2 linked regions of the Caenorhabditis elegans genome follow. The protein of the gene in region 1 purifies or fractionates together with the protein of each later gene. This does not show direct contact. Each region holds a gene or a part of one and is shown on either strand. Other genes may lie near its edges. The genes, in order: hrpk-2 and Y43F4B.10.

Region 1 (18,539 bases):
ATGTCGATGATTCGTATTTGAATCAATCAATGAATTCAGAAAATGGATTGGATTCAGTCACACAGATTATGTATGATATGGTGAGTTTTATCGATTTTTTGGAAAAATAAATTTGATGTATTTTCTCTATAAGTGCTGAACCAAATTGCTCCACTTTATAACGCTTAATTTTGAAGATATCGACAAAAATTACTTACGAAACTATAAAAAAATAACTGGAAATTATTTTTTCAGTTGACAATTTTTTTTCAAATCTAAAGTCAACGAGAGCAATGGGGTACAGCACTACTAGAGAAAATATGGTTTACATTTGAAAACTAGGTGACTGTAAACTCTGTGCATTTGTTTTGCAACCGTGATAACTCAATTTGAAATTATAGCTCAGAAATTTTGGACTTGATTCTCGACCTTCGATAAATTTATATGTTCAAAAATCCTAAAATTTTGTATGGCCCGGCACTTGTTCAAGAAAAAAGTAATTTGTTGAAGCTGCCAAAACTAAGACTGGAAAAAATGTTGGTTATTTTTTAATAAATAAAACTTGATTACTTTTTCTGTTGCTAAATTGGATATTATTTTTGTTTGTTTGCTATTTTCACCTGATACGCATCGGTTTTGGTTTTTATAATCACAACTTTATTGAAAATTAAAAACTAAAAAAAATGTAATAAAAAAAGCGATATTTCATGACTTTGAGAATTTTGGGAGTATCCGAACATATCCAATTAACATTCAATTTGTGTCGATGATCAAGTTATTTGAAATATTTGAAAATTAAAAAATGTGTTAGAAACCTCTCATAATTCTTGTAGCATAAGATGCTTCTCTTCAATATTTATGTTTTGAATAATTATGTATACTCAAAATTTAAACTACAATCGCTCTAAAATATTGCAACAAATGTCATCAGAATCTTATGCCTTGAAATGTCATCTACTAGAATATAGTATTCTGAGCAACGATTTGCTGTTGATTCGGCACGGAATATAGGCTTTAGCATGTACATGGTTTTTATTGGAACGGATACATGGTTTTTATTGGAACGGATTGAGATATTTAAAGGTGGAGTATCATCAGTAGAGAAGTTGTTAACCCACAGTGATACAAATATTTGAGTAAAACTTTTAAATTTTTTAAAAAATTAATAATTAGTAATTGTTATGTTTTCGCCTGTCATAATTTTGAAACTGGATTTTTGAAAACTTTTCCCACATAAAAGTTCAAAAATAACTTTTCATGGGTTTATATCAACCTTTGAATGATGTCATAAGAAACTTAAAATTAAGTCCTCTAGACTAAAATTCATATTAGTTTCCTTCCGCTTTCTTCAACTTTTTTGGTTGTGGAACAAAAGCACTTTTCATCTAAAAACACATGATTCCATGCCAAATCCTTCAATTCTCATTTTTCCATTTTATTTCCCGCCGCCTAAAATCAAATTATTCTCCCCATTTCTATCTCCTGTTTCTCATTGTCTCATTTCTTCCACCAAATCGGGAATCCCATCAATTATGCCAATCGCCATGTGCATTTTTTCTATTCGTGTACTGATGCTCATTGTGTTGAAGACTAGAGAAAAGAGATTCAGAAGGACATTTTATTGGAATAAATACGAAATCAAGCTATAGAAAAGTCATTTAAAAATGTGATACTTTTAGAGACAAAAACGTTGGAAATAAGATTTTTGAACCGGCACAAAGAATGCCAGAAACATTTAAACATTTGAGATAGGGATTTGATCTAGATTCAAAACCCAGTTGGAAATAAACTCTCCATTTTGTGACGATTTTACCGGACGTCCTGAATCCGAAAACATCGGACCCAGGACGTTCGGTTGAGCCCAAACCAGATTCAGACAAATTTTTCATCAGCAATTTGTAAAAATTTTTCAGAAAAAGTACAATATAGTGAATGATGTTCTACCTCCTCCCAATCACGAAGATCTACATGTTGTAATAATGGCAGTTTCATACCTTCTTTTATTTTTATTAGGTGGGTATTTACGTGACAATGTTTTTGGACTTTGGCATTTTTATTTATCAAATAAATTGTTTTAAAAAATTTGATTTGTATATTAAAATCATTTGTGTGTCTAGATTGACAAATAACAATTTTTAGGTACTTGTGGAAATGTGGCAGTGTTAACTACAATATACCATGTTATTCGATCGTCTCGAGCCACGTTGGATAACACATTAATATATGTCATTGTGCTTTCTTGTGTCGACTTCGGAGTTTGTTTGTCACTTCCAATTACGGTTATTGATCAGGTAAATCGATTGGTTTTTGGAAAGTTAAATAGTGTTCTAGAAATTATAAGTAGCTTGTACAAGCGCTTGTGAATATATATGGAGAAAATTATTTTTTATGGTACAACTTATGAGTGCTGAAAGTTTTGAAATGTGAAGGATTGTCAGTGGAAATTTATTCTAAATACACTTCGACACTTCGTTCTCTAAAATTTTTATATTTTCTGAAAATATAAACTTTTTTGGTAATTCGGAGCATTTGTGCAGGTTCAAATCCGTAGAATGTTTAAACGATGAATTGAACCACAACTACAATATTAAACTTGTAGAAAACTTTTTTTGGTCCTGGTGACAATTGAGTTCAGTGAAATTACACCACCTTTTGCAGGTAAATTTTTATAAAAAGTCCAAATTTTTCTGAGAAGTTTTACATAGCCTCCACCTTTAAAGAAACATGAAATTCGTAGGTAGTGTGAATGCAACAAGAAAGCTGTCAGAAAACGTTTGTTGACTTCAAAAAATAATTATTATTTTACATAATCTTTCATTTTCCAGATTCTCGGTTTCTGGATGTTTGGCAAAATACCATGTAAACTTCATGCAGTATTCGAGAATTTCGGTAAAATCCTGAGTGCTCTCATTCTGACGGCAATGAGTTTTGATCGGTACGCCGGAGTTTGCCATCCACAGCGAAAACGGTTGAGATCAAGGAATTTTGCAATTACTATACTTTTAGGTGAGTGTTTTCATAAATGATTTGTTCCTAAATTAAAGTTTAGTTCTTGCCGTATATGCATTCATCACACTCTGCCCGTTATTATGGTCTTTTACTGCACGGGAAATTATACTTTATGCGAAGGAAACAGGTACATTATTTACGCTTTTCTAGAAATATTCATAAGTTCTTGAGAATTTTTTTTGACAAAAATATATTTCTAACAAAGTTTAACTGCAAAAAATGGTTTTCTACTATCTAAAAAATCTTTGGTATCAGAAATCAAATGTCAATTTTAATTTCAATAAATTGGAATAACAATTTTTGAATGTTATTCGTTTACTTGAACTATTAAACAAAGAAAACACTAAAATGTTGTCAAACTTTCTCATTCCTATTGATCTATTTATCTCTTTTTGCCGTTAACCAATATTTTTCTATTCTATTTTCAAATTTTACATTCAATTTTCTTCCCCTCCCTCTCTTTAGTGTATTACTTGGTTTTCAATTAGTTCTCACTAATACTTTCGGGATTAATTGAATGCTCTCTAGGCAGAATGATGAAGAAAAATATGGGAAGATTGGTGGGGGAGTTTACCACTTTAAATTGAAATTTTCCAGCACCCGGAATGCTGACAAGAATGAAAATTGAGAAATGCACAGTGGATATCGACTCACAAATGTTCACAGCTTTCACGATTTATCAGGTACTTATAAAAAATATTTAAAAATTCACAAAAATGATTGAATTTTATTTTTTTAATGTATGTATATAAAGAATTGAAGTTTCAAAATGAGATAAAAATATTATTTCACACGGTTCTACCTTGGAATGATTGAAACAAATTGGTATATAAAATTACTCAAAGTAATTGAACTTACTTACTTGGTAAGTAAGAAAGTTGAAAACATTTCGTTGAACAGATTTGAAATTTGAAACCAATTTCTACAGTTGGGCTTACTGTAATACAAGAAAACTTACCATTTTTTTTAAATTTCAGTTCATTCTCTGTTATTGTACTCCATTGGTTCTCATCGCCTTTTTCTATACGAAACTTCTCAGCAAACTCCGTGAACACACAAGGACGTTTAAGGTATGAAATTTTGAACGCTCTGATTACAAAATAGAACAAATATATCTAAGACAAAGAACTATGACTATACACTTCAAGGGTCACATATCACGTCCGCTTGCCTCTCCTTCTGTTTTGCCTGGAATCCGCCTTATAAAATTCAAAAATTAAGAAACATAGAAAAAGTACAAAAAATATATTTAAAAGATTACCTGGGTATAGTATGACGGTAGCAGCACACAAAGAAGATTACCGTCTCGACCGAGAACTGAGGCACCATCAGTATTATATGTTGCTCTTGCGTTTGAATCAAAACCCCAATAAATTCCAAAATTTTCAGAGCTCTCAAATCCCATTTTTGCACATTTCGTTGTACACTCTAGCAGTTGCATGTTTCTATTTTTTATGCTGGACCCCATTCTGGATGGCTACATTATTCGCAGTTTATCTCGAAAACTCAGCAAATTCGAGTAGTGTTCCACCAGTTTTTGTATATATTATGTATTTTATTCATGCTCTACCGTTCACCAACTCTGCCATTAATTGGATTTTATACGGTAGGGTTTTTCTAGAAACTGTTTCATAAAAAGTAAAATTCATAAAACAATCTCAGGTGCACTAAATGGCCAACTTCAACAAAGATATCGATCAAATCGTTCAAATTCTACAAAAAAGACGACAACAACAACAGCTTCAACAGCTTTATTGGAAAAGAAAATCACAAATTTGAATACTAACTCTAATTATCAGGTACATCTGAAATTTTTGTGGTAAAATTTTTCTAGTCAGAAGTTTTCAAATGATATTTTCGCCATATTTTACGCACAACAGCAAATACAGTGTCAATTTACGAGACCTTTTTAGGCATGGCGAAAATTCACATCTTCAGCCGTCTTCGTAAGATATTTGGCGAGCAGACAGTATTACTCTGACATATAATTTTGCAATTTTTGTGCTAAATCTACGGTAACTGGTCTTGACACGGCAAATTAGTGGAAAATACAGAAAAGTTTGCGCGTTTAAAGAGTACGGTAATTTCTAACTTTCATTGATGCGGAAGTTTTGTAGATTTTATATAGTTTTTGGATAAAATTGTATTGATTTATTAAAAAAACTAACATAAAACACAAATAAATTGATGAATAAAACGATGGCATTTTCGCAGCAAGGATAGTTTGAAAATACAGTACACTTTAAAGGCGCACACTTGTTTGTGTTCTACAATAAAATGTCGTGTCGAGACCGGTTACCGTATTTTTGGTGTCAAATCGTAAAAATTTCGCTTCTGGGTAAAACACTTATACGGAACAAATTAAAAGCCACATTTTCCCAGGTAAATGGCTCAATGAACTCAATAGCCACTGCAGCTCCAACAAAAACGATTGGAAATAATGAAGTACTTGTTGCCACGTCAACAATTGATGATGATGTTGCAACTGATGTTGTAGATGTTCGACTTTTGAGTAATCATAATCCAACTTTTCTTTGAAATTTTAAATAATAATTTAAATTAACGGGTATTTATCACACATTTAATTTAAAAAGAAATATTTATTTCATTTTTCTATGTAATTTCAATTTCGTGATTGCTTCCCCATTTGTCAGGTTTTGCTATTTTACAATAATTTTTTTTGAAATAAAGTATAAAGTGTTTGTGTGAAGTGTAAGTATTTTTTGCGAAAAAAGTTCTTTCAGATGGTACGTCTGAATGAGGTACCATGGTCATTCAGACGGTACCAGACAATATACTTCAACCGTCCAAAAACAATGACATGTCGTTTATTGAGATTCGGGAGTAGAGAACCAGTAAAGTATGTAAGAAAACCGTAAAAAAAGATTGGGGAAATACAGGAGAAAAAACAAAAATGGATAAAAAATGCAGTACAAAATCAAGAGAAATACTTTGAAACTATTTAAAAAATTCACTTATTTGCATTCTTTTCTTTCTGCGTATCTTTTTTTGAGCATAACGAGTCTCGGATCTTCCATCGGTTTCACTTTTGACAAGTTGTCTGAAAAAAGAAAAATTAACTAGTAATGTTTCCGAAAATTGAAAAAGAAAAAAATAATAACATTAAATGATGTCAACTCACTGAAATCATCCGAGTTGAATTGAATAACCTTCGGGTCAATAATTCCTATTTTAACCTTGGTTAAATATGCAGCATAGGCAGCTTCTTCAACTCCACCACTACAAACCATGAACTTATCATCGAGATTTCCTCTAATAGCATTCAAGTAGCACTTTGCTTTCGATTCACTTCGAATTCTGTTGATTTCTACGCCATGCCTTCCAATAAGCCGGGCAACCATGTTTTCTGGAACACGAACTTGGAAGATACCCGGATCATCATCCGCTGGCTGATTCTCGTGCGTGATCTCCTGAAAATAGATACTAAAACTGAAAGTCTAAAATTAAAATTAAAAACCTCAATTTTCTCGATAGCCTGCTTGATGTTATCAGTTCTTCCACGAATTGAAAAGCACGCCTCATTATTATCAAATGAGCGTTTGAAAACGATGGCAGTACGAGTCACTTTCTCGATAGTTTTCAAGTTCTCTCCACAACGTCCAATGATTTTTCGGTAGAAACTTATTGGCGTACAATGTTCTACAGTCTCCTTGAACTTCTCTTCATCGAGGAAACGCTTTGTTTTCGATTGCATCGTTTCTCTAGCCATGTGAATGGAATTAACACTTCCAGTAAGTTTCAGTGGTGCGGTTGACACATATCCGCCGATACCAAACACTTCTCTCATTTTCTCGATGATGATTCCACAGTATTTCTGAAAAAAATTTTCCCCTAGAACTAATATTGAAATTGTACATTTTGACGCCCTAAATATTTTCGAACGAGGGAAAAGTGCCTTCAAGAAATATTGGTTTCCAAAGCTTTGCATCGAAAATTGCCAAATTTAAATAATATGTACTCAAAAAATCTCACCTCAATGCTTCTGCAATTCAAATCGAATCCTCTTGTATTACGCAATTCGTGGGGAGCATTATAAAAGTATACAATACTTTCTCGACCATCATGAATGTAGTGTTCATCAATAACCATATCATCAATCATTTTTTGAGCATTCTTGATGTGCTCGGGATCTCCTTTCAGTTCGACGTATGTATATCCACCGCGTTTAACTTCCTCCAGGAAAATAAGATGACATCCTGTTGCATAGTGGATCTCAAGCAGTCGTGCCTTTACTGAAAAAAAGAAACTGTAACGTTGGATTCAGTGAGATAAACCAACCGAGAGCTCCAGAGCGAATGGAAAGAGCATGCATGGCCGTACGATCCGCTTCAAACACCAGCTCTTTCTGCTTTTTCTGATGTCTCTCGGACTCTCTAGGTGGACCACCAACTGAAAATATATATTGAAAACAAAATCAGCTTATGTCAAATCTTACAGAGCTGTGTTACACCATCAACTATTTCCTTCGAATATGACCATTCTTTAAACAACTCTTCACGTCGAGCCATATCGTCGTCGGTCAACCGTGCGCGTTTTCTTGCATCTGAAAATAAAGTAGATATTTTTCTCAAATTAATGTTTTAACTAGAAGCTTTTTCTTATAAATGCTAGCTTCCTAGTTTTCAAAACTCCAACTCACTTCGTGCAATATCATCGCACTTGTAACTGTGCTCTTTTTTGACACCGACATCCATTCCATGTTCATATTCTCTCTCCATTTCAAGACTATTGTGGTACTCATCAGACTCTTGTTGGTAAAAACGATCTTCATCAAGAATATAATTATCTTCGTCCACACAAGCTGAAATATACATATATTCTTGGTTTAATAATTATCTCCGACACAACTAACCAGATTCCTTTCTGTGACTGCTACGCTGTCTCTTTTTCCTCTCGTGACGCTTCTCAGAAGGATTGCTTATCTCATAATCATCTTCTTCGCGACATTCAGAAGAATTTCCAGATTCGTTACGGTCATAGTGTTTTTTATGTTTCTTGTTATTCTTGGAACGATGACGATGACGGTGGTGCTTTCCAGAATCTTTATCATTGTAGAAATGATTATCTTGATCAGTCTGAGTGATGTCGTAATCTTCAAAATCTTCACTATTACGCATGATTCCCATATTCACGTGCTCCATTACTTGATAACGTCCACGATTCAGTCCATCTGCATCATGATGCCTTGCCTCAAACGGAAAAGAAACTCTAGATTCCAAATTGGACGGATAATTATTATGATTGTAGCAAATGGAATTTTGGTAGAAGTTGTCGTTGTTGATTTCCTGATTGTTGATTTGACGTGCGAAGACTGGAAGTCTTCCGGAAAACCTTGGATCCTCCAATCGTTCAGAACTTGCCATGATCATTCCAGATCGCAAATAAGAATTACTACTGAGTGAGTCATCTACTCTACGATCAATTGATGCAGATTTTGCAGGAAAGTTTGGCGCCAAAAAATGTTCTTCGAAATCATCATTATCTCGCACGATTTCCATATTCAATCGTCCCATTTTTCGGAAACTTCCTCGATTCAGTCCACCTGCATTGTACTCATTTACATTTGATCGATAAAATGGTCTAGGCTCCAAGAAGGTAGGATGATGTTCGTTGAATGGAACATTTACCAAAAGTTGTTGATTGTTGAAAAGGGGTGTTTGTCTATTTATGGGTGGAACGAATTTATGGTTGAAACGAATGGGATTCTGGTTGTTCCTTCCGTTGCTGATTTCTCGACTTCTCTCTAGACGTTCAAAGACTGGAACTCTTCGCGCTTCATGATAACTTGGTTTCTCCAAACGTTCAATATTACTTATAGAAATTCGGGGTTCCGAACATGAATTACTGCCCCACGTGTCATATTTGCTACGATTGTTGTGTTCTCTCTGGACATTAATCAACGATGTTGATATTCCAGGGAAGTATGACTCTGAAATAGTGAATTGTATGTGAAGCTTGAAGAGTGTGCAACTCACCTGGAATTCGCTGTCTATAAGAAACACGCACTATCGGGTCTTTGTGAACTTTTTTATTGTAAATAGGTTTACAAATGTCTTGACACTCTGAAAATATCATAAATTTACTTGTTTTTGAATATACGAATTCACCATCATCGGAATCATCCAACTGAATAACTTCTACTGGCGGTTTTGGAGGCATAATTATTTCCTCTATATCAGAATCGGCTGAAAAACTATAATTATTGTTTAAAAAGCAAATAAAGAACCTACAATCCACGCTGGATACAAATATCGATTTGTCTTTTGTTTTGGCCATGATTCGCTCTGAAAATAGAATTATTTAAGTTTATTTTCTAAGTACAAACATATGAATTGAATTCTAGAACACGCGGATTTTGATACTTCAAAAAAGCGTTTGTATTTTCAAAAATTGTTTCAAAAGGGTTTCTCGAGAGAGAGAAAAGGAGGGAATCTGTGAGGGTCATTCTGCGTACCTCGCATCAAAGCAATGAAGTGCGCGTTTACAAATGTTTAAGTGAGAAAAATAAATGAACAAAATAAACTTTTAGGAAAAATTTTCGATGAAATTGAACCCAAAAATTAAAAAAAGTTAGTGAGTCCAAAGTATACGGTACCGACCGGTCTCGACACGAAGGATACGATTACTGCAGAATAGAATGTGCGCCTTTAAAGATTACGGTAATGTCGAAGCTTTGGAAATCGATTAAAGAAATGAATTTTTTCTCATTTTAATAAAAACAAATTTTATGCAAAATTGGGCTGGAAAAAAGACTTTTGTTCGAAGCTGCTAAAAAAAAGTATTATTACTTCACCGTAAAACGTGATTTTTTACAGTTTCTCCCACTACTCGAGGTAAATATATTTTTATCTTTCCTAATTGATTTTTAAAAAAAGAGAAATTTTTAAAGCTAGATCAGAAATGGTTTAGTGTATGTGGTATTATTCGTAGCGACAGAGTCAATACTAATGAAATCTGTGAATATTTTTTAAGTGTTGAAGAATATAAGATAATTTTGTTCATTTAAAAATACTTCGTATGCTTAATCTTTTGACAGGCTTGATTTTTGAAAAGACGGAAATTTTGGATATCTTTCATCAGAACTAGAAAATTTATTTACTCTGGAAAAGGCAAAAAAAAAGAATACAGTGAAACAACAAGCATATCAAAATATTACAATTCTACAGAGCAGATCCGGCAAACATCGACGGGAAATTAGGCAGAAAGAGTGGAGAAAAGAGGGACGATTGAGGAAAGAGAGAGAGGGTAGGGGGGTTAATGATGAAAATAGAACGAGTGACAGAGAGATTTATACATAACGAAGTGGATCAAAACAATAGGTATAGGAAGATCCAATCTTGCTATTTGTTGTTGTAGTTGTGAGTAGAATGGCTTACAGTTCCCTGGAAAATATTGAATCAATGAATTATTAGTACCTGCAGAAGCTCAGCTTATATATTCTGTTAAATCAAAACAAAGTACAAAATCTTGATATTCACTACTCACTCCGACTCGATAAATCCATTCGTGTAGACACGGAGCATGAACTCGGCTTCCTCGTTTGGTTCAAATGTTGATGGAACGACAACATAGTTGCCCGGGGGTACACGGAAGCGGCCAGTCATCTGAAAATTTGGTTTTTAAAATTTAATTTTGAAGATAGAAAATTACCTCTCTTAAATTGATGAAAGCGGCCGATCTCATCGCGGATTTGTTGGCAGCGAAGAACTGTTTACTCAGTCGACCACGGTTATTTCCGGCCTGAATAGTATGTAATTTTATAAAGCTTGAAAAAATCTTTGGTTCGGACGAACACAGAGACAGAAAATACAATTTTCTTTCAAATGACTGCATTTTTCTGTTATTTGATACGTTTCACACATCCAATAGTAAACAACAAAACATAAATATTGGTTAGATAATGTCAAAAAATCAGCACGTGTACTTCAACAATAAAACAATACACACTAAACAAAGTGGGTGAGGTTCACTGAATGTGGGTTATTTTGAACTAGAAACGACGTGATTTGGACAATTTTACCGGTTTCACAAGATTTTCAATTAGCCAACTTACATTGTTCATCTGTAAATTTTTAGCGTATTTAAAAGGTTTAAAAATTTTTTAGTAGTTTTAGGGGAAAGTTAAGTTTTCAAATGTTCCAACTATTCTATTTAAAGTTGAGGTTTTCTAGAATTGTCGTAAATTTCAGGCCAAATCCTGTTTTTTCTTCAAAATAACAATAGTCTCACGTCATAGACAGCAAATCCAATTGGCACGTTGTCAAGTCCATCTTGTTTCAGATTACGTCTTAAAAATTGGAAAAATAAAAATGATTTCCCTATCTGGTGGCGCTACCTGTATTTTTGCAAAACGGCGAATATTACAGTGCAGAGTTCATCATCATCATCAGGATCCGAATCGGTAAGTTGAACTCGGAATTGTGGATTGTTGGCGAAAGTGTCTGAATTGAAAATTGAAAATATTTGTAGATGAATATTTACTTACTGATGTAATTCCTGCATCCTCCAGCTGTTTGATTTCTAACCCATGCACCATCATGAGTATTTGCAGCCCAAACCATTCCAGCGGCCTTGACACCAGTCATTTGATAGACTTCATCCATAACATCTGGTCCAAGATTGCAAATTTCCATTTTCTCGAAATTCCTCATAAAATCATCAAATGACATCCAAAACTCTCCATCATGATCGAATTTCAGTCCCATATCTTGTTTTACAGAATCTGGAACACTTCGCCATTCGCGTGAATTGTCTGACCATGGTCCATTCCATTCCTGTTCATTTCCCCATGGATTACGGATTCGAAGAATGCAAGTTTGTCCATTTGGTCCGTCAACAATTCGGCATCCGGTAATTGAATAGGCGTGTCCTTTCACTAAACCATTCGACATTTTTGCTTCCCAAACATTTGGATCGGCTTCGATGGAGCAACCGAATAGGGATCCCATCTCGAATCTGAAATTTTGTTAATACATGGACGCTAAAATTTGCGCAAAAAATACGGTAATCGGTCTCGACACGACAACTTTTTGTCGAATATAAATAGGGGATCACTTTTAAAGAGTACTTTACTTTCAAGATTTTATTTTTGTGGAATTTTTTATCGATTTTTCATAGTTTGTGTGTTCTTAATTGTTTTATTTCTGTTTCTAACAAAAAACTATGCAAAATCAATGAAAATTCGGCATCAACGAAAGTTTGAAACTACAGTACTCATTAAAGGCGCACAGACATTCATAATTAACAAAAATTGTCGCGTCGAGACCGGGTACTGTAGTTTGGCACAACTCGTTTTTGGATAATAATGTAAATTAGACTTTAATCCCTACCCTCTCATCATCATTTGCATCAAGTTTCTTGGTGGGTTTTTGAGGTCGATAAACTCGGTGAGTCCTCCAGTCATGTCCTCAAGTGCTTCAGATGTGGTACCTCCCTTGAGAGCCTCGTATGATCCGAACAATCTTGAAAATTAATTAACTAGTTTATTCCTTCATAAATGTCGGTCAAAAGTCCGAACTTACTTTGCATATGCCTTCTCTAAAAGTGCACTCCAGAACTCATTATTACTAGCAGAATGCATATAGAGAAGCTCGCCGTTACTCGTTGGTAATCTGTCGTCAATAACAACATCCACCCATTTTCCGTACTGCCAGAATTGGAAATGGAAGATTCCAGCGTAGTTTTCAGTGAAAGATTGATCTGGTGGAACCACACGATAGAAGAGCTCATCCTTGAGAGTTAAATTGGCTGCAGCAGCCAAGAGCCAACAATCTCCGAGTTCTCCCTGAAAGAATATATAATTTTAATAGTACATTTCAAATATTAAAAATTCTGAAAATAATCCAAGAGCTAACCTGAATAACATCAAATCTCGAGTGACCCTCTGTAATCAGTTGTGGCTCTCTTGTGATTTCTCCAGGACGAAGCCATTCTACACGTTTTGGTGGACGTTTCGAGAAGAATAACGAACTATCATTGGCCAAGAATTGTGGATCCTCGAATAGTCGTTTGCTCTGAATTTATTATTTTAAAAATGATATGTTTTGAACACTCACCTCAAGACATTGATCTCTGAGCTCATAGAAGTCTTGTGGTTCGGTAGTTGGTCTTGGTGAAATAGGGCTTGGACCACTTCCACCACCTCCTCTATCTGGATCTGGTCCTGGACGAACGAATGGATCAACATCCCTACGGAACTTTCCAGAAATAATATTGTCCAGAATAACTTTTCCGATATTTCCAAGAGAATTATCTTTTCCACCAAGTCCCATAATCACATTTCCAGCGACAGCTCCAATGATTCTGCCTGTACCCGGATCAACGCCGAGGAATCTGTGAGCAGCTTCTCCAATGAGATTTCCGATAACATTCACCATTCCACCGTTGAGATTATTCGGGTTCACATTTCCACCTCCACCATTGTACTGGCCACCGCCTCCTCCGCCAATGAGAGATCCGATTCCTCCGAGGATATCTCCGAAGCCTCCTCCACCACCGCCTAAAATTTTTCAAATTATTCAAAGTATATTAATAAATGTTCTATACCTTGTCTCTGGCCACCACCACCACCACCTCCCATACTGTTGATGAGTCCACCGATATCATTGAAGTTAAAGCCACCGCCTCCGCCGCCTCCTTGATTTCCACCACCACCGCCGTAGTTACCACCTCCGCCTAAAATATTACTCTAGCTTGAATTTCATGGGTGCCACATTTGTGTAGATAGTTCAGAAATGAAATACAATTAGATGTGATAAATAAGTGTCAATAAGATCTATAAATGTTCTGATCATCAGCTCTATTAACTATTAAAATATTAACACAACATTTATGATACTACATGCACACTACAATCCTAATGCATACCACCACCACCAATAAGTGATCCGACCAAGCTTCCGATGTTGTTTCCACCACCGCCACCGCCACTGCCGCCTCCGCCTAAATTTCACACGAAATATCACAGCAAACATGCAAAATATTGCATTTTTAAAGGAAAATCACGAATCATCAGTCAAAAGCGAATTAACAGGAGAATTTAAAAGTCTAAAGCTTCTTTCAAAATAGCCATATTTTTCAAATCAAATTTTGGAAATGAGTGGTGTTGTTAGTATTTAAGTGAGTGTTGGTGAGTGCGTAGAAGCTTAACTTATTGTATTTTCAAACTCTCAGACCGTAATTTTGCCCTCCGCCGCCTCTTTGTCCACCGCCGCCACCTCCGCCGCTCAAAAGTCCCCCAAGAATGTCTCCGAACCCTCCGCCACCGCCAGATCCACCTCCACCACCAAAATTGTTATTTGGTGGCGGCTGTTGTCGACCTCCACCTGATTTTTAACATAAGTTGATGAATTTGTGCTATGAGCGTGGAATTGCGCTATTTTCAAGAAAAAAGCTTGAAGATTGGTGAACAATTACGGAACAAAAGACAAAGAAGCTTCACATTCCCAGACGTCCAAGAATGAAAAACTAGAAAAAAAACCGAGGATAATAAATTACAGACCATGTTCAGAAAATTTGAGAAAATGATTAAGCTAATTATATAATCAAATCTATAGAAAGCACAAAACAGCAAATAAAAAAAACACAAACGCTACCATAGTTATCCTGCTCCTTCTTTCCTTTCCTATTCACCACATTATCGAATATTCCTCCAATCAAGTCTTTCGCCATGTCTCGTTTCCTTTTTTGTTGATCTCCGCTGTTCCCATTCCCGCCTTGATCGTAGTTCGAACCTATGGATTACTGTAGCAGCAAATGGGATTACGATAACATGGACAACATATAAGGTGTGAGAAAAAATTCACTGATCTAAGCCACACGGTGATGTTTTGAGTGAATCTAAATGTTTTCTAACACAAAAAAAGGAACTTGAATTTTTAGGGAATTTTTGTCTGACAATTTTGAAAATAAAAATACCTCCACCGAATCCTCCATTTCCACCACCGAAACCTCCGCCTCCGCCGCCGCCTCCTCCGCCGCCTCCACCTCCGAAGAAGTTACTGGCAAGGCCTCCAAGGATATCACCACCGGCGCCACCGACCTGTGAGATAATTAGTTTTAGGTTGCAATTAAATTTCAACATGTCTATGTAGCAAATTTAAAAAAAAAATATTCTAACCAAAAATTAAACTAACCTTATCTCTAATCAGGTTACCAGCAATTGATCCAATTAATCCATTGAATTCATCCGGCTTCACTTCGACTTTTTGAATAATTTCTTCCTCATCGTCAGCCATTTTGATTCCGTCGGCTTTTGCTGTGAAACCGTCGGTTGTTGTCTTTTTTTGATAGTTTTCCTCCTCGTTTGAGCCTGCCGCACGATTTTCGGGGTCTGCAAAACAGAATATCTATGAATTTGAAATAAAATTTGATTTTTGTTCAACGAAAAAGTCAGAAGAAGCAGAGCAATCAGGCTCACAACATAGAGAAAAAAAAAACAAATTTTTACCTCTTCTTGGGGATACAGCAATTGAGAATGGAAACATAAAATAATTTTTAGAGTTAGAGCTTTTTTTAAGGAATGTGTAATTCTTAAAATCGATAAGCCCTTTGCGTGCTCTTTGAGCCTTCGGAGTTGGGGAGACAAAGATTAGCGTCAACTTTTTTGTGCATGCATTTTTCTGTTTTTTTTCTCATATTTTCTGAGCACGAAACAACATAAATTTAGTTGACAGAATAAAGGAAATTTGAGTTAATGGAAATAGAAACTTTATCTATTAATTTATTTGATTGTCATCAATTAGCTATCGATGGCAAACAAAACGGATGAACCTAATTGGAAACGGATAAAAATATAAATTCAATGTGACAGGGGGAGAAAAAAAAACTAGATTTTATTTTTTTGTTTCTCTTTTGGTTTTTCGGTCTTGTTTTCAATTTAATCGTCACGGAAATTGGTATTGGAGTGAGGCACAACACACCAAAAAAACAATTGCCACATTCAATGGGTTTCGAAATATAGAATATGCTCAGAAAATCAGATAAAACTAAGCAAATCGTAATTTTTGAACATGATTTTCAATTATTCAAGGATTTTTCTTTCAATTTTGTTCCGAAATTTCCCTGTATGACCTTTTGATACGGATAAAATTGTCTTTTGAAACCGAGAAAACGAACAAAAAACATTTGGAAATCGATGTAAAAGCTGCGGGGGACCAGAGTTTGCGTGTTTTGCTTTTGAAACCAATTCTACATTCCCATGAGTCTAAGCGAAGGACATGTCAACTCAGTGTCAGGAGCAGGCCGAAAATGTGTTTTTTTTTTAATTTAGAGTTCAGAAAAAAAACCACACCTTCTGAAGATACTCTGGATCACACGTAGACAACAATACAATACATTTCTTGAATTTTTTTTCATACAAATTTGACTCACCAACAAGACAACAATTGAATACATTCATTGCACCGGGCAATTCTCCTCGAGAAACGAGCACAGAATGAGCTCAAAAAGGGAGCAACAAGCAGCTCGTTTTGAGAAATGGAGAGCTAGAGGGACCAACCGGAAATAAAGGAGCACCCTATGGCTCAGAGCAGGAAAAAGTTGCTCTTTTTTTTCTCGAAACGGAATGTGATGGCAGAAATAGAGGGGAAAAGATGTTCCGCGCCGTTGATAATTGGTTTTGGTGAGGCTCCGGGGCTCAGTTGCTCTTTTTGTTTTTGTTTTCCGTTAGGTTCTATTCGCAGGTGATCGATAGCATAGAGGAAAAGGTCCCTTTTTCTTTGAAAAGAGAATAAAATTTTGTGTATCGAAGCACTTTTTTTTGGATTTATAGGTGAGTGACCAGAGAACTCTTTAGAATAAAGAAGTGGTGAGCGATTTAAAAATGAGAAAATTTCACCAACGTTGGTTGCCAATCATTCAAAAAGCCAGGGTTTGAGCTGTCTGAGCCCCATTTGACGATTATCTAGATGTTGCGGATTTACGACTTACAATTACAGAAATCTAAATCCAAATGAGGACTGTTCTTTTTTGTTTAATTTTTTTTATTTGGCTCCTAAAATATTCATTTTATTTGTTAATTTTTGTCAAAGGAGAAAAGCAACTGAAATTTTTTTGTTCTTGGTCGAAAGAACTTTTGTATACGGGAATGTAGTTGCAATTTTTAGAAACGGAGGTGTTTCAGACAAAAAGAGCCCACAAAAAACTTTTACGAGCTTTATTTATTGTTTCCACTACAAATTCCTTCTTTCGATGAATTTCGGAGTAATTGGTTGGGCTGGAGCAATTCTTATTTAACGTTCTAACAAAATCTCGACATTTGTTCGAAAAAACACAATTTTTCAACAAAAAAAATTTTAATTTCCTTATTCATCAGCGGGAAACAACAGTCGACTAATAAACCTTTCAGTATTTACTATCATCTTATTTCCTATCGCAAAAAAATTTAAAAAATCAAAAAGAAAACAAAACTCGTTGGCATGGGTAGAAAGAAAGAGAGGAAGCAAACAACTGAGAATCGCCTTTTTTATTGGCGAGCAGATGAAATATCATGAAAAAATAAGAGAGTTCAGTGAAAAAGAATGAAGAGATGCAGATGGTTAGACAAGAAAATAAAGGCGCCGGCACTCGCCAAGGTTACTTGTTTACTCGTCGAATTCACCGTACAAAAATGTGTGTATGTGTTAGGTTGAAAAATTGTGGCAAAGTTTTCAAATGATTTTTCAAAGTTCAAAACTCTCCGGGAGCAGTATTAAATTTTTGTGGGAATTTTTCGAATGAGTGGGACTAATTTGAGTTCCTAACGACATTCTGATACAAAAAGCGTTTTCCATTGTAAGCAAGTATACAGTATATCTTATCAGTTTTTCCTTATTTCTAAAAGCGAAATTTACTTCACAGCCAATTGAAGCGGGGAAAAATGTGCCTCGATAGCTCAGTTGGGAGAGCGTACGACTGAAGATCGTAAGGTCACCAGTTCGATCCTGGTTCGGGGCATTTCTTTTTGGAATGTTTCAAACTTTTAATGGCGAACAAAATATTTTGGAAGGCGCATGACAAGCGAACTATTTACCAAATCTTAAATAAAATCAAAAATGCATGTATTCTGGGTCAAGTTTTTTGAGAGTGGTAGATTGCGGCAACAAACAAATAGACACTGACGACTAACGGGACACAACACACTTTACAACTTAAAATGAAAAGGCGGGAAAATAAAAGGGGAGGAAGAAGAATTAGAGAACACAAAAAGTGTTTAAAAGATCATTTGGCTTGATTGAAACATGAGAAAATTCTTTCAAAAAGTGCACGACTTTAGAAAAAATAATTAAATTGATAACATTATAATATTTTTAAAAATAATATGAAATAAATACTGAAATTCAATAAATTTCTAGCAAAGAAAACGCAAAAAACAAACAATCAAATCAATGTTTCGGCCGACGAGTCTCGCAACGAAAACATAGCAATGAACGAATGTTGTCTGTGCCTTTAAAAAGTACCGTAGTCAAATAAAATATCAAGCCTAGAATGAGTTCGAGATTGCAATTCACCAATGATTAGATGCAGAATATAAAAACAAACATTTAAAAATT
Region 2 (15,375 bases), 5.3 Mb from region 1:
TAGATTTTTCTTCTATATTTGATTTAAAACACCATTGGCCAATTTTTAAAATAGTTTATCATGAAAAAATTAATAAAAAATATTAAATTGCGGATTTTGACATTTCTGGCAATTTCCTTAGGGTTATCAAGTTTTTTTTTCACGGAGAAACGGTTAAATAATTGATAAACGGTGTTTTAAATCAATATTTAACCGTTTTTCCGTTAAAAAAACTTGATAACCTTAGGGAAATTGTCATAAATGTCAAAATTGGCCTAAAATCCGCAATTTAATATTTTTTTAATAATTTTTTTCATGATAAACTATTTCAAAAATTGACCAATGGTGTTTTAAATCAAATATACAAAAAAAAACCGAGAAAACCCGACGAATTTATCCAGAAACGATTTAATTCGGCCGTTTCTTTGATTTTTGAAAAATTTAAAAAATCATTTAAAAAATTTAGAAAAATTTATTAAATTTTTTTACAGTTATATTCGGTTATTTGGGTATATTTTCTGTCATTTGAAGCAAGAATTTTGCTATTTTTGATGCAATTTTTTTCAGAAATGGTCGAGATCTCATCGATTATGCGAATATTATGCGAGGCGCCGTGGAAATGGGACCACCGTGGATAAAGCGGAATGGATACTTCTTCAAGTACGGGGAATTTTAAGGGTTTTTAACCCCAAAATTCTTTAATTTCAGACAACTTGTAAATGTAAATATGTTCATCTCTCAACTGGGCTTCTGCTGTGTATATTTTGTGTTTATGGCCGATAATTTGGAGGATGTAAGGGAAATTTTCCGAAAAAACTTACTCAAAATTAAGCTTTAATTGCAGTTTTTCAACAATAACACGTCAATTCATTTGTCAAAAGCAGTTTGGATGCTTCTGCTCCTTATTCCGATGCTCTCAATTTGTTCAATTCGTCGTCTTTCAATTCTTGCTCCATTTGCAATGGCTGCAAATGTTGTCTACGTGGTTGCAGTTGCCGTTGTTCTGTTTTTCTTCCTTTCAGGTGTGAAAAACTGGTTTTTTTCTTAGAAAATTTGAAATTCCCGCCAAAATGTATTTTTCTCAAGAAATTTGAATTTCCCGCCAAAAGTTGTTTCCCCGAAAATTAAAAAAAATCTCGCCGAAAAATTTAAAATTCCCGCTAAAGTTTTTCGCAGAAAATTTGAATTTTCCGCCTAAAATTTTATTCAGAAAATTTGAACTACCCAACAAAATGTAATTTTCTCAAAAAAATTTCTCTGAAAATTCGAAATTCCCGCGAAGATGTTTTTTCCAGAAAATTTGAATTTCCGTGAAGCCTCAAAAAAAATTTAAATTCCCAATTTTTTTTCCAGATCTCCGGCCAATTTCTTCTCTCCCGTGGTTCGGAAAAGCCACGGATTTGCCACTTTTCTTCGGAACTGTAATGTTCGCGTTCGAAGGAGTCGCTGTGGTAAGCGGATTTTCTGGAGATCGATCTGTGAATTTTGCAAGCCTGCGGCACGGTTTTAATGGCAAAACTGGCAAAACTAGGCTCCGCCTTGACAGTTCGAATAAATTTATTTATATAAAATCCAACTAATTTCAGATAATGCCAATTGAAAATCGAATGCAATCTCCACATGCGTTCATTTCTTGGAATGGAGTTTTGAACTCATCCTGCCTTGTCGTTCTCGCGATTTTCAGCGTTACTGGATTCTATGGGTACGGTGGGAAACAAGGAGAAATTGCCGAGTTTCTTTGAAAAAAAATTGAAAATTGTTAGATTTTCTTTAAAATAATCAAAATTTTTCGATTTTTCTGAAAAAACAAATTGGAAATTATTAGATTTTCTCTGAAAATAATCAAATTTTTCTGATTTCCTGTGAAAAAAAAATCAAAATAGTCGATTTTTTCTGAAAAAAAATAAAATTTCGAGTTTCCCTGGAAAAAAAAACAATTTTTATCGATTTTCTCTGAAAATAACATTGACAATTGCTAGATTTTCTGTGAGAAAAATCAAAAATTTTCGATGTTCTTTGAACAAAATAACAAAAATTTTCGATATTTTTTGAAAAAAAGCAATTTTTTTCGTTTTTTTCTGAAAAAAAATTGGAAAATGTTAGATTTTCTCTGAAAAAATCAAAATTTTCTGATTTTCTGTGAAAAAAAATCAAAATTTTTCGATTTTCTCTTAAAAAACTTAAAAAATTTCGATTATCTGTGAAAAAAAATAATTTTTTTTTCGATTTTCTCTGAAAAAAAAATTGAAAATTATTAGATTTTCTCTGAAAAAATCAAGATTTTCCGTTTTTCTGTGAAAAAAATCAAAATTTTTCCGATTTTCTCTGGTAAAAATTACAATTCTTTCGATTTTCTCTATTTAAAAAAAATCGGTTTTCTCTTTGAAAGTAAAACTTTCCGATTTTCACTTAAAAAAATATAAAAAATTTTGATTTTCTCTTGCAGAAATTACAATTTTTTCGATTTCATGGGAAATTCCTAATTTTCTTTAAAATTTTTTAATTTTCTTCCAGATATTTATCACTTGGAAATGATGTCAAAGACACAGCTACCCTCAATTTGCCAATGACACCGTAAGTTTAATGATGAAGAGAGAGAGTGAGAGAGAGTTTAGAGAAGCAGAGATAATTGTTTGGACTTTGATCAACTGACCGTTTACGCTTTTGTGTCTGTGTATGTGACTCAATAATAACAGAAGAGAAATTAAATAACAAATGTGTTACGAATTGGGGGCTAACTGAATAATAATATTAAAAAATTGGATTTTTTCAGGTAAAATCGAAAAAATTCTTCGAAAAAGTAAATAGAAAATTTCCGATTTCTCGTTTTTGAAACGATTCGGAGTAAAATCAAAAAATTTCAGTTTTCAGAGTGAACCGAGAAATTGCGGATTTTGCTTAAAATCCCTAGAAAATCTCTTTAAAAGTAGAGAAGTTCGCGAAAATTTCCGTAAATTCAAATTTTTTAATTTCAAAAACAAATTGTGCTATATAAATACGAGGAAAAATCAAGAAAAATCAAGAAAATCAAGAAAAAACCAGTAAATTTAGCTGGGTAACGTAAAAATGCAATAAAAATTTTTTTTTTAATTCTTTTAATTTTTGAGACTGTTTTCAATCATTTAGAGCGAAATTTTTATTCACAATATTGCTATAATTGCTTGGGACACAATTTTATTGTAAAAAAGGCAGAAATTCTTTTAAAAATGCATTGAATACCAGTTTTCCTTGCTATTAAATTTTTTAAAAATTACTTTTTAACAATTTCAGATTCTATCAAACGAATTTGGGGGTTAACTGAATAATAATATTAAAAAATCGATTTTTTTCAGGTAAAATCGAACAAAATTCTTCAAAAAGCTGAAAAATTTCCGATTTCTCGTTTTTGACACAATTCAGAGAAAAATCAAAAAATTATATAACTCAAAAAATGAATTTTTTTAATTCGAAAAACGAAAAGTTGGGGAAACTGTACTTTAAAAAAGAGAAGATGTAGTATAAATATGTGGATTTTGTTTAAAATACTAAGAAAATCTCTTTAAAAGTAGAGAAATTCGCGGAAATTTCCGTAAATTCAAATTTTTTAATTTCAAAGTCAAGAAAAAACCAGTAAATTTAGCTGGGTAACGTAAAAATGCAAAAAAAAATTAAAAAAAAACATTCTTTCAATTTTTGAGACTGTTTTCTATCATTTACAGCGAAATTTTCATTCACAATATTGCTATAATTGCTTGGAACAAAAGTTTTTTTGTAAAAAAGGCAGAAATTCTTCTAACAATGCCTAAAAAATAATTTTTCAAAATTACTTTTTTAGCAATTTCAGATTCTATCAAACGATAAAATTAATGTTCACGAACTGGGGGCCATCAATAAAAAATATGTCAAAAAAAAAAATAAATAATGAAAAAATTTTTTTTTTTTTAAATCAGAATAATTTTAAAAAAATTCAATTTCAGATTCTATCAAACGATAAAATTAATGTTTGTGGCGTGCATCATGATCTCCTATCCTCTTCAATTCTATGTGCCAATGGAAAGAATCGAAAAATGGATTACTAGAAAGGTTTTTTGGAGAAATTTCCATGAAAATTGGTCAAAATTCTTCAAAATTTCAGATTCCCGTCGATAAACAAACATTGTACATCTACATTGCCAGATATTCCGGAGTTATTTTGACTTGTAAGTTTCAAAAAAAAAATATTATTCGCAAAAATTATTTTTTTTTTCATTTTCCGTTTAAAAAAATCTAAAATTGACCTAAATATCGATAATTTAAGTTTTTTTGTTGCGGAAAAATTGTGTTTCAAAAATAATAATCAAATAATAAGTTTAGAAAAAAATCATAACAAATTTAGAAAATTTTAATAAATTTTTAAACAGTTATATTTGGTAAATTGAGACTTTTTCTGACATTTTTGATCAAAAAAATAAAATAATTGGTCTAAAAATCGATAATTATACATTTATTTAAACTTTTTTCGCAGAAAATTGTGTTTCAAATCGATAATGAAATAAAAATTGAGAGAATTTCGGTAAATCCAGACTTTTTCTGAGACATTTTGGAAATATACTATAAAAATTGCACATAAAAATCAAAGGTTTTTTTTCAGGTTGATATCAAATAATTAATTTAGACGAGAAAAAAATTATATAAAAATTTAGAAAAAAACTGATTTTTTCTAATTTTTTGAAAAAAAATTTCCAGGTGCAATAGCTGAGCTTATTCCTCATTTGGCTCTTTTCATCTCATTAATCGGAGCATTTTCTGGAGCTTCAATGGCTCTTCTCTTCCCTCCGTGCATTGAACTTTTGGTAGGAATTTTTGAATTCCAATTTTTTTAAATTAATTAAAAATGAAAAAAATTGAATTTTTTTCAGACATCCTACGCGAAAAACGAGTTGAGCACTGGATTATGGATCAAAAATATCGTTCTTCTCACTTTTGCCTTTATTGGATTCACAACGGGAACCTATAGTGCACTTATCGAAATTGCAAAAACTTTTGCATAGATTTAAATATCTATAATATTTAAATATTTTCAGCGTTTTAGCTGGAAATTCCCAGAATTTTATTGCACCTTTATGGAATTTTTTGGAATTTTTTTTTGTATATTTCGTGTCCTTCCTTGTCGGTTGTTCAATTTGTGATGATGATTTTTTCATATTTTTGCGGCATTTTTTTTTCATTTTCGTTTCATTCCCGAATAACATGTACTATTTATTTTGTTAATAAAATTCGAGCTTCTGTGAATATTTTTTATCGAATTTTTTGAAATATTATTTAAATGTGGTATCAATTTTAACCAATTTATTTAAATATCTCGATTCAATTTTATATTACCCAGCCGCAAAATTTTGCAATTTTCACACTAAAAATACGGTACCCGGTCTCACAACGACAATATTTTGTTAAATACAAACGGGCGTGCACCTTTAAAGAGTACTGTAGTTTCAAACTTGTGTTGCTGCAAATCATGAAATTCCGTACGTTTCAACAAAAGTTTGAAATTACAGTACTCTTTAAAGGCGCACACCTTTTCCGCATTTAACCAATATTTGCCGTGGCGAGACCGGGAAAACCGAAAAATTGGAAAAATGTTTAGAAAATTAACAAAAAAAACTATTTTTTATCAAATTTTATTTATGTTAATGAGAACAAATCATAAGAAACAGATAGTTTTTCTCTAAAAAGAGGAAAATTATATTTTTCCAAAAATCCTTTTTTTTTTCAAAATTTCGACAAAACAAAATTGTTTGGTTTTTCGATTTCTCAAAAAAAAATATCGTAAAAATAACCGCCAAAATCCTAAAGCAAATGTGCTCCATTGAAACGTGTTTTGAAAAGAGACGCAGAGAACGGTGGTGTTCCCGTTCTCTGTATTTTTATTGATTTCTCGCAGTAATTCATTCAACCTATTTTGTTTTAGAAAAATGGCGACACAAGAAGATCTTCAAACGCTTATCTCAATTGTGCCGAATCTTCAGGTAAAATATTTAAAAAAAAATCTAAATATACAATTTTAATTGAAAAAATAATGATTTCAGATGCAAGAAGGCACTCCTTATTACGAAGTTCTGCTCAAGTTGATCGAAGAAATCGGGAAAGACGTTCGTCCAACATATACATTCAATAAGTTGACCTGTGAACGGTTGAAGAGGAATATTCAAGCGGCAAAAGTTCTGATTAGGTAGGTTTTTGAGTTTTTTCGTCGATTTTCCACTCGAATTATAAGTGTCGATCAAATATTTGATCGTCATAATCGAGAAATCAATTGAGAGAAAAAAAATCATTTGCAGAGCGTGTCAACAAGAGGCCGAAACAGACAAAAAAAAGGCAGACGCTGCGATCGAAGCACAAAGAGTTGCGCAGAAATCAGAGACTCCGAAGCCTGAAGAGACATCATCGGAGGCCGCCTCGAAGAATTAATCTTGCTTTTTTATATATGTATTTCAAATTGTATTTATTTTTACCATTCCTGCAAACTGGAAACTTTAATTTTTTTGCTATAATTTCCATCACGATCCTCATGGGTTTTAAATTATTCCCAATATTTTTTCCATGAATATGTGTCTTATTCCAATCTCAATAGTTCACCAATGTATAGACTCGAAATTTGGCGGTTTTGGAGCCAAAACGGCGGTATTTGGTCTCGACACGACAATTTTTTGGTTAAATACAAACTAGTGTGCGCCTTTAAAGAGTACTGTAATTTCAAACTTTGGTTTTTGTAAAATTTTTATCGATTTCTTAACGTTATTCGTTAAAATAATACTTTATTTCTAAAAAACTGAAAATTCGATGAAAATTCCACATCACGAAAAATTTTGGAATTACAGTACTCTTTAAAAGCGCACACCTTTTCGCATTTAACAACAAATTGTTTCGTGTCGAGACCGGACACCGTATTTTTGACGAAAAATTGAAACATTTTACGTTTGAAAACCGCATTTTTAGTAAATTTTCAAAATTACAAATTTTTTGAGCTCATTTAAATGCGATCAAAAAGTGTGAAGCTGTCAAATCGCCCAGCATTTGCTCGTCGGATACCATCAGAGGACACATCACGTGCTTGCGTATCCACGTATCTTCTCGATACATCTTCAGACACTCGATCCGGCTCACTGTGCATTTTGAAGATTGATGAAGCCGACGGGCTACAGTTGGAAAATGAGATTAGCACTTCTGCTGGAGTGTTTCGATTCGATTTCCGAAATCCGTCGACGATAGTTGCAGCGCTAACCGATGGATCACTAGTGGTTCAGAAAATTGAAGGTTTGAATTGTGCCTGAGATTTCAAATGAGCAGGACGATTTTCAGAACCTGTATCATCCGAAACTACACCTGTATCGTCGGATATGCTTTTGGATTTGGGACTTTCGGATTCTTCCCTCACTATTACAACTGACAACAAAGTACTGTGATCTCGCCGGTATTATAGTAGTAGTGGTGCAAAGCACCACCAGAAGGGCGCCATGGGCGTCCATGCCTCAGTGAGTTCCTCCAGGGTAGTAGTAGTAGTAGTGGTGCAAAGCACCGCGATGGATCCGTGGAGGTCCTTGGATCATTGAGATCCGCCTGGATCGAAAGTTCTGGTGGGGAGGCCCAGTGCCTCTGCCACCTTTTTCGGAGTGAGCGGGGGTTGGATAGAACATCTCAGCATGTGTTCCACATTCCCTGTGACATCGCCACACTTCTTGCAGGCTGGCACCGTGTCGTTGTTGATTCTCGCGAAATAGCTTGGGACCATGGTTGAGTGACCGCATCTGATTCTGGCTAGCTCCACTCTTGTTCCTCGCGGCAAGGAGCTTTCCTCACCATTTATGGCGGGGGCAGGGCGTCCAAGTACGTTGTTCGGCTTCTTGCTGTTTAGGAAGTTTTTGATGAAGGTTCGGTGGTTGGACTTCTGAATGGCCTTGGTCGTTGAGCGGGGATTTGTCCAGGCATTGGTGGTGCTGCTCGGATAGTCTAACGGCGGCTCTCTGGGCCTGTTGGTCGTCCTCTCAAGGGGTCTTCTTGCCTTTAGGTCTTTGGATGGGTGGCCAGGGGTGTTCAGTGCTGCAATTGCAAATTGCTGCTTGCGGAGCTCAATTTCCTCGCGAAGAGGAAGCCTCTCCGTTTCCTCATAGATGTGCTGAGTCGGAGAATCACTGGTGAGACCACTGCAGGTGCGGAGGGTCGAATATTTTGGTGGGGAGGCCCAGGGCCTCAGCCACCGTTTTCGGATCCGACCACAATTTTGATGGCGTTAGCGGGGGTTGGGTTGAGCATCCCAACAAGTGTGCCACATTTCCTCTTTGATCGCCACATTTCCCACAGGTCGGTATCGCGAAGTAGCCGGGTACCATCGTGGAATGTCCACATCTCAGCCTTGCTAGCTCCACTCTGCTTCACCCTTGGTAGTGATTTCTCTTCCTCGGCCACCGCTGGGGCAGGGGTGCCCAGCACGTTGTTCACCGGTTTCTTGTTCAGAAATTCCTGCACGAATTTCCTATGGTTTGCTTTCTGGATGGCCTTGGTGGTCATTTGAGGAATTTGCCAGTTGCTCGTGGTGTTGCTAGGGTAATCTAACGGAGGCTCCCTTGGCCTATTTGACGCTCTTTCCGTCGGCCTTCTGAGCTTTAAGTCTTTGGATGGATGTCCTGGCGTATTTATTGACGAAATCTGGAATTGTTGTCTTCTAAGCTCAATTTCTTCTCTCAGGGGCAATCTGGTCGCTTCCTCGTAGATATGGTGTGCTGGGGTGTCACTTGTGAGGCCGCAGCAAGTTCTCAGAACTGCTCTGTAGGCGTTATTATCAAGCCAAGTGGTGCCACGCTGTCCCATGACGGTTTGATCTACAAAAAATGCGGGAATTTTATCCAAAAAAAAAATGACGTCAGCACGTTCTTAACTACGCGAAATCAGTTGAGAACCCGCATTTTTTGTAGATCTCCGTATATCAAGTCAAAATGAGACACTCTGACACCACGTGGAGCTCCAGAGACGCAGAACAACGCGCAAGTGCGCTCTACTGCCAAGAATTGGGTCCCAATAGGTAATGGCGGCAAAACCTTAATTTCGAAAAATCACATTAAAAACTGAATTTTACATCAATTTTGTGTCAGAAAATATGTATTTTTGTTGTTTTTTTTTGGCGCCAATACCTAACGAGACCCAGAGGCGGAGCGTTCTCATTTCGCTGTGGAGCGCGCTTGCCCATTTAAACGTTTTTTTCTCTATTTTTTGAAATCAGTTCATTTCAGGGCCACGCGTACATCGTCGACCTGAACACATCACTCATCGTTTCCACGTGGCTTGCTCATTCGCTTCCGTACGTTCCTGGTGAAGGATGTGAAGTATGGTCTTGTGCGATCAGCAAAGATGCTCAGACAGTTGTAACTGGCGGAGAGGACGGATCAATGAAGTAGGTTTGAAGGAAAAACCAATTTTCTATTTGAATTCCCTCCAAAATGAGAACTGCAAACCAATCAGAAGGGGTGGGCGGAGCAAATCGCTGATTGGTCCTGCAGTTCTCATTTTGGAGGGAATTCAAAATTCAAACAGAGGGGTTTTAAATCTTCAAATTTTCAGACTCTGGGATGCTCGCAGCCGAACTCAAACCGGTCAATCAAAAATTTTCGAAGCCGGTGTTGTTTTTGTTGATTTCCCGGCTTCGAACGAAGATCAAATTCTAACTGGAAGCTATGACGAGCACGTCCGGATTTTCGATCGAAGGAATTTAAAAACTGTGCTCAAAGAGAAAAAGGTATGATATATTATGGGAGCATAATATTCTGAGAGTGCGTGTTGCACAACATATTTGACGCGCAAAATATCTCGTAAAAAAACTACTGTAGCTCTTGTGTCGATTTACGGGCTCGATTTTCTCGTAAATCGACACCAGCGCTACGAGATATTCGCGCGTCAAATATGTTGCGAAATACGCAACCTCAGAATTTCGAAAAATTGAACACTATCTGTGCCACGTGCAGGATCTCATATCGCCACGTGTCACCAGATTCTACGTATTCAAAATAAAAAATCCAGGCCTTTCAGGTGCGAATCGACTTTATTTTACCGTCCTTCGCGTTTATAGACCTAACAATTTATTGGTTATTTTGAAAATTTCCCCTAAATTTAACGAGAAATTTAAATTATTTTCCAATTACAGCTCTCTGGTGGAGTTTGGAACATTGAACAAGTTGGCTCAGAGTACTGTACTTCCTGCATGTACGGTGGCTACAGTATTCTGAATTCGGACACTCTCGATATTGTCCACGAGAATCGGGATGTTGGATCGAATCTTCTGTATGGAGCAACAAAAATGTCCGCGAATTCGGTGCTCTTTTGTACTTTTAATGATTATTTGGCTGTTTTAGACGAGTATTGATGAAAAATGTTGAACGCCGGTGAATTTGTTAAATTAGTGATTTTTTGCTTGTTGAATTTAATATAATAATAAAAATTGCGTTTACAGAATTTATACCTTAGTTGGAATTTTTACAAGATGAGGGTGTTAATAATAACAAAAAAATTGTACAGCAACTTTCGCGATTTTTGCGCGAAAAGTACGGTGTCCTGGTCTCGAAACGAGAATTTTTTGCTAAATGCGAAAAGGTGTGCGCCTTTAAAGAGTACTGTATTTTCGAACTTTCGTTGCTGTGGAATTTTTATCGATTTTTCATAGATTTGTTGAGTATTTCCTTTTTTTATAACAAACAAATAGATTTTCAAAAAAAAATTATGAAAAATCGATGAAACCTCTGTGCAGCAGCAAAACTTCGAAGCTACAGTACTCCTTGAAGGCACACGCGCGTGCTGAGACCGTGCAACAATCGCAAAGCTTTGCGTGTGGGTAATATCTGCATTTATTTTTAAAAAAAGTTTATACATTAATTGAGCAATTTTCGGAAAGTTTCAGAAAAAGTTGGGGTAAAGAATTTATAAATTAATTTTAGATAAATCGTTGGCCGAATTGGGCTTTTCTAGGCCAAGTATTTAAAAACAGTAAACTAATCAATTAAATGTTTGAAATGCATTAAAAATCCAGTATTCATCATTCCATCGTGTTCCTTGAAAAACTTCTTCAAATAACGTCGTTGGTAGAAAAGTTGAAAGTCAATTTTCCGATTATTGGTAGAGTTTCACAAACGGAACATCTTTCCATACCAGACAGTTACACATCCAAAAGGGCTTTTAATGGTTTCTTTTGGAATATTGAGAATTTCATCGAGATACCAACAATGTTCAGGTTGTTCTCCTACGAGACGTGCGCTTGAATTGAAAATGTGTGGGACTTTTATCGGAATTCTATCGTCTTCTTCATAGTACAATTTAAATGTGACACTTCCATTTCGCTGTTGATTTTGCTCAGTCAACCTAATAAACTTTGCAAAGACTTTGTGCATATTTTCAGGAGCAATTAGAACATTCGTCTCAGAAAGTTTCACAATCATATTCCTGCTTGGGAAGGCCCTTTGAACATTTGCAATTATATTATCATATGGTGAATAATAGTCATAATCCAACTGATCTTCAATGGTAAGTAGAATATCATCCGTGTATTGTAACTTAATTTCCACACTTTCCAATAAATTAGCAGAAACTGGTTCAATGTTCCATGGTGCAACAAACTGAATATTCACTGGATTCTTGAAATTTTCTGGGCACTCGTGAAATTTTTCTGCCATAACATTGTGCGCTCCGAATCGAAAATTAAGGTTAACATTCTTTGCATTCCAGTTCGAAACAGCCTGATGTGTTATTGTTCTCGGCAGTGAGACAATATCTTTGCCATATAGAATGAATGTGAGTGTATCACATGTAATGGGCATTTTAAGAAAGCGATTTATCGGGAAATACACCATTTCTTCATCTTCTTCATCAGTATATATTCGACGCACTTCAAATTTGTCAGCATTCACTATTCCGTGTAGGTGCCTGAAAAAAACTTACAGTGCTGGTCAAATAATTTGTCGAATTATTCAAATGAGCTACTTCAAAACTAGGAACAATATTCTTTAAAAAGTTCAGCTAACAAAAAAATTACATTATTCGTTCGTTTTCATGTTTATTTAATTTTTAATTTTCATTTTGGTCACAGGGAAAATTGAAAAAAAACGCGATCAGCGGATTCTGGGGTAACTGTTTAAAGCTCCTTCTATGATGCTAAAATTAAATTTTCAGAGGGAAACAACGCCCTAAGTTGACAAGGTGCTGCCAAAGTCGTCATAGCAAATATTAGTTAAAATATCAAACGCAAAAACGGGGATTTTGTTAATTTTTTTCATCTTTTCCTCTGTTTAATAATTTTTTAAAATCTTTTTTCCTTTAAAAATTGTTTCAATTTTGATTTTTTTTTTATTGCTGCGTTGCTGATTTCAAAAATAACTCGTTGAAAAAGGCTACATCATGAGTTATTTCGAATAATTTTAACTGATAAAATACTTTCAAAATATTTCTCTAAATGTTGATTGCTGAGCACTGTTTGACAAATTTAAATTAAAAACAGCCGAAGTATATATAAACCTGTCAATTAGAGCAAGTGAATTCTAATAGGGAAAATACGGTAACTCAGTTAGTTTTAGATAACTTGGAATATCAGCGCTGTGAAGAATATGAACCAAAAAACTAACGGCTCAGCGACTTCGAAAACGTCAAAATTAAGTAGTTGTGATCCATGTAAATCTACACCTTCCTGCATTCCAAACCGGATGCAATGCCTGGCAATCCTCTCGGCTTTTAAGTCCCAACCATAATAACTTAAATCAAACATTCCCGTGAATTCCCTTATTCTGTCTTCTGTATTTAAAAAAATGTTGATAGTTTTTTGATAACCGCGAAACTCACCGTTAGATCCTATCAATTCTTTGAGAATTAAACGGTGTAATTGAAATTGTACAACTTTGTCAAAATGTTCAATTTGAACTTGTAGTTTACAGATATTTATTTTCACGCGTTTATTTAAAAATCTGAATCCTTCTGTATTTCGACATAACTTGTAATTAAACTCACTGAAAGTATGCATGTAACTTTAAATTACAGATGTCTTGAGAGTTTATGAAAACTGTACATATGCATGGTAAGTGCTTGTCACAATGCCCAAGGTTATGAATGATTATTTCACTGTGCTCTTTTCTGATTTTGTAAAGAACTGCCAAGTTTAAATGTCGACTGACAAGCTGTAATAAGAAGAACGTTTGAAATTTTTCAGTAATGAAAAATACTGAGATACAAAACGTTGAAACCAACCAAAAATTTGGCAAACCCTTGTGTAAATTCGTCTCTAAAATTACTAAAAAATTTTGAAATCGTCTGAAAACGGACCAAAATATTTAAAAGTGTGCACTTCCCTCTGGGAAAACATAATTATAAATTTTGGAAGTATTAGATAATCAGTCACCTTATATCGGGCTTAAAGGCTATAAACTGTGAAAAGTCGGACAGTTGCATGTTTTATATACATACACTGGCAAAATATAAAAAATATACACTAAATAAAATTAAATTCACAAATTTATGTATAGCTTTTTGAAAACTGGATTTAAAGTTCAAGTTGGGCGTTTGATTTTTCAACTATTTTGCTCTTTTGCTCCCAATTTTTGGCATCACTTACTCTCAATTTAACCAGTGGTTTTGTCTGGATTGACACATGATCTAATATTTTTCCAATTAAAATTTCATTCATAAACACTTGATTGACAATATATGTATTCTGAAAAAATGTTGAAATTCGATTGACTAAAAAAACTTCAACTCACATCTTCAGACATTTTAGTGCTCTCTTAATTTCTGTAGCAAATTGCAATAGTTGCAAGAGAGTAAAGGAAAATGAGAGAATGAGAGAATGAGAGGGCGAGAGAGCGAGAGGGAGAGAGAGACTTCACAAAGAATATGGACTTTTTGAGTTTGAATTTTCCGCCATACATTTTCAGTATTTGAATCAGTGTATTGTAACGGGAACGCCAATATTTGTTCCTCAAAAATTTGAATTTCCAGCCAAAATGTTTTCCTAGAAAATTTGAATTTCCCGCCAATTTTTTTCAGAAAATTTGAAGTTTTGCACTATCAAAAAATTATATGGTATGAATTGCATTTTCAGAATTTATACTTCATTTAAAAATTTTTTACAAAATTAGGAACAAAGGGGGAAATGACACCTGGATGGGATACGGACTAGAAGTTTAAAAAAATCAAGTTCTAGACCATAATGCGGAGAAAAAAAGGAAAAATCTTAACATCTTAAAAAATAAATTAAAGAAAAAAATACACGTAGTCGGATTGGAATAGGCAGATTCAGAACATAAAATTTTAAATACATAGAATCAAAAATCCTAGAACTAAAGTTAACACATATTCAATAGAAAATTGAGATTTCGAAGAATCAGTTAGCTCAGCTGATTGAATTTTTCTCATTTTCTTTTTTTGACTGAGCTTCTGCTTCAATTCCTCATCATCTTCATCCTCACCATCCGCCAGCTCTCGAACTACAACTACCGTAGTTGTTTGCAGTTTGGTTACGGTAGGACGTGGCCGACTTGTTGTGTACGTGGATGTTTGTAATGTTGTAGTTGTTGATGTTACATTATTTAAACTATCAATTTCCTTTTGAAATGATAACAGTTTTTGCGAAGTTCCAGTGAATTGGCAGGCAGGCATTAGGGTGTTTGTGGTGTCTTTTAGGACTCGGTAGATTACCTGAAAGTTTAGTTTTTTTGGAATCTGATTTTTAATTTCATTGAGAATTTTGTGTGTGGGTGCCGAGGGTATTGAGTTTTCAATGCTTTAATTTTTTAGATTTTTCAATTTTTCGATTTTTAGTTTTCAATATCATCAACAAAAATTTGATAAAAATTGCACTTTATTGTTAATTCTCTAAAAAATGTTTTGCTCTTTTTTCGCTTGAAAAAGCAGAAAAACTAGCGATAAGCCGAAAAGAGCTGGAAAATATTAATTTGTTGTTCACCGTCAATGCTTGGGGAGACCCAAGTTAGGCGCTTTTTTTTGACATTGGAGCGCGATTGCATTGCTCACTAACCTGCCACGCAGAAAATCCGCAGTCTTGTTTTATCGGTGACCTTACACAACCGGAGAAGAAGTTGAGAGCTCTAAAAAATCAATAAATATAAATAAAGATGAAGTAAATGAACAACAAAATTATAATGTAAGTTAAACAATTTTCAAATACCCCAATCACTATTTTTTCAGAACTTCATTTCATATATTTACTAACCCACACATCCGATCAACTTTAGCTGGCATAGATACACCTGATTCAGTGTTTGCTGATTCAATTTCTTTAAGCGTCTCATCATGGCATCTTTTAACTGATGGTTTTCGATCCAACTCCATCAAACATTCGGCAGACTCCATAAATGCTGAAAATTATTTCAACTATAGCAAATACTGTGAAGCTTC

The links.
Region 2: the proteins of hrpk-2 (region 1) and Y43F4B.10 fractionate together in Caenorhabditis elegans (co-fractionation; one large-scale study listed by BioGRID). This does not show direct contact.

What each region holds. Positions count from the first base shown.
Region 1 is NC_003281.10:7,977,875-7,996,413, reverse strand, and holds hrpk-2 (KH domain-containing protein hrpk-2), read right to left. Parts: upstream 9,294-18,539; 5' UTR 9,286-9,293; coding exon 9,240-9,285; intron 9,195-9,239; coding exon 9,117-9,194; intron 9,072-9,116; coding exon 8,985-9,071; intron 8,939-8,984; coding exon 7,862-8,938; intron 7,811-7,861; coding exon 7,649-7,810; intron 7,553-7,648; coding exon 7,445-7,552; intron 7,399-7,444; coding exon 7,288-7,398; intron 7,242-7,287; coding exon 6,982-7,241; intron 6,824-6,981; coding exon 6,467-6,823; intron 6,420-6,466; coding exon 6,131-6,419; intron 6,050-6,130; coding exon 5,964-6,049; 3' UTR 5,801-5,963; downstream 1-5,800. Other genes in the region: npr-17 (putative G-protein coupled receptor C06G4.5), read left to right, coding at 1-80, 1,893-1,992, 2,119-2,270, 2,805-2,985, 3,029-3,115, 3,586-3,671, 3,966-4,058, 4,378-4,594 and 2 more; Calpain clp-1, read right to left, coding at 10,382-10,391, 10,495-10,613, 10,660-10,749, 11,239-11,296, 11,345-11,450, 11,495-11,964, 12,339-12,470, 12,531-12,793 and 6 more.
Region 2 is NC_003281.10:13,308,163-13,323,537, forward strand, and holds Y43F4B.10 (uncharacterized protein), read left to right. Parts: upstream 1-5,905; 5' UTR 5,906-5,909; coding exon 5,910-5,963; intron 5,964-6,023; coding exon 6,024-6,166; intron 6,167-6,275; coding exon 6,276-6,405; 3' UTR 6,406-6,559; downstream 6,560-15,375. Other genes in the region: slc-36.1 (Amino acid transporter transmembrane domain-containing protein), read left to right, coding at 547-639, 688-772, 824-1,001, 1,333-1,430, 1,566-1,681, 2,494-2,553, 3,936-4,041, 4,094-4,157 and 2 more; dph-7 (methylated diphthine methylhydrolase), read left to right, coding at 6,972-7,251, 7,297-7,391, 9,222-9,382, 9,550-9,724, 10,130-10,348; F53A2.11 (F-box domain-containing protein), read right to left, coding at 11,103-11,898, 12,594-12,759, 12,808-12,929, 12,973-13,139, 13,574-13,672, 13,719-13,730; F53A2.1 (DUF19 domain-containing protein), read right to left, coding at 14,269-14,655, 14,996-15,065, 15,191-15,335.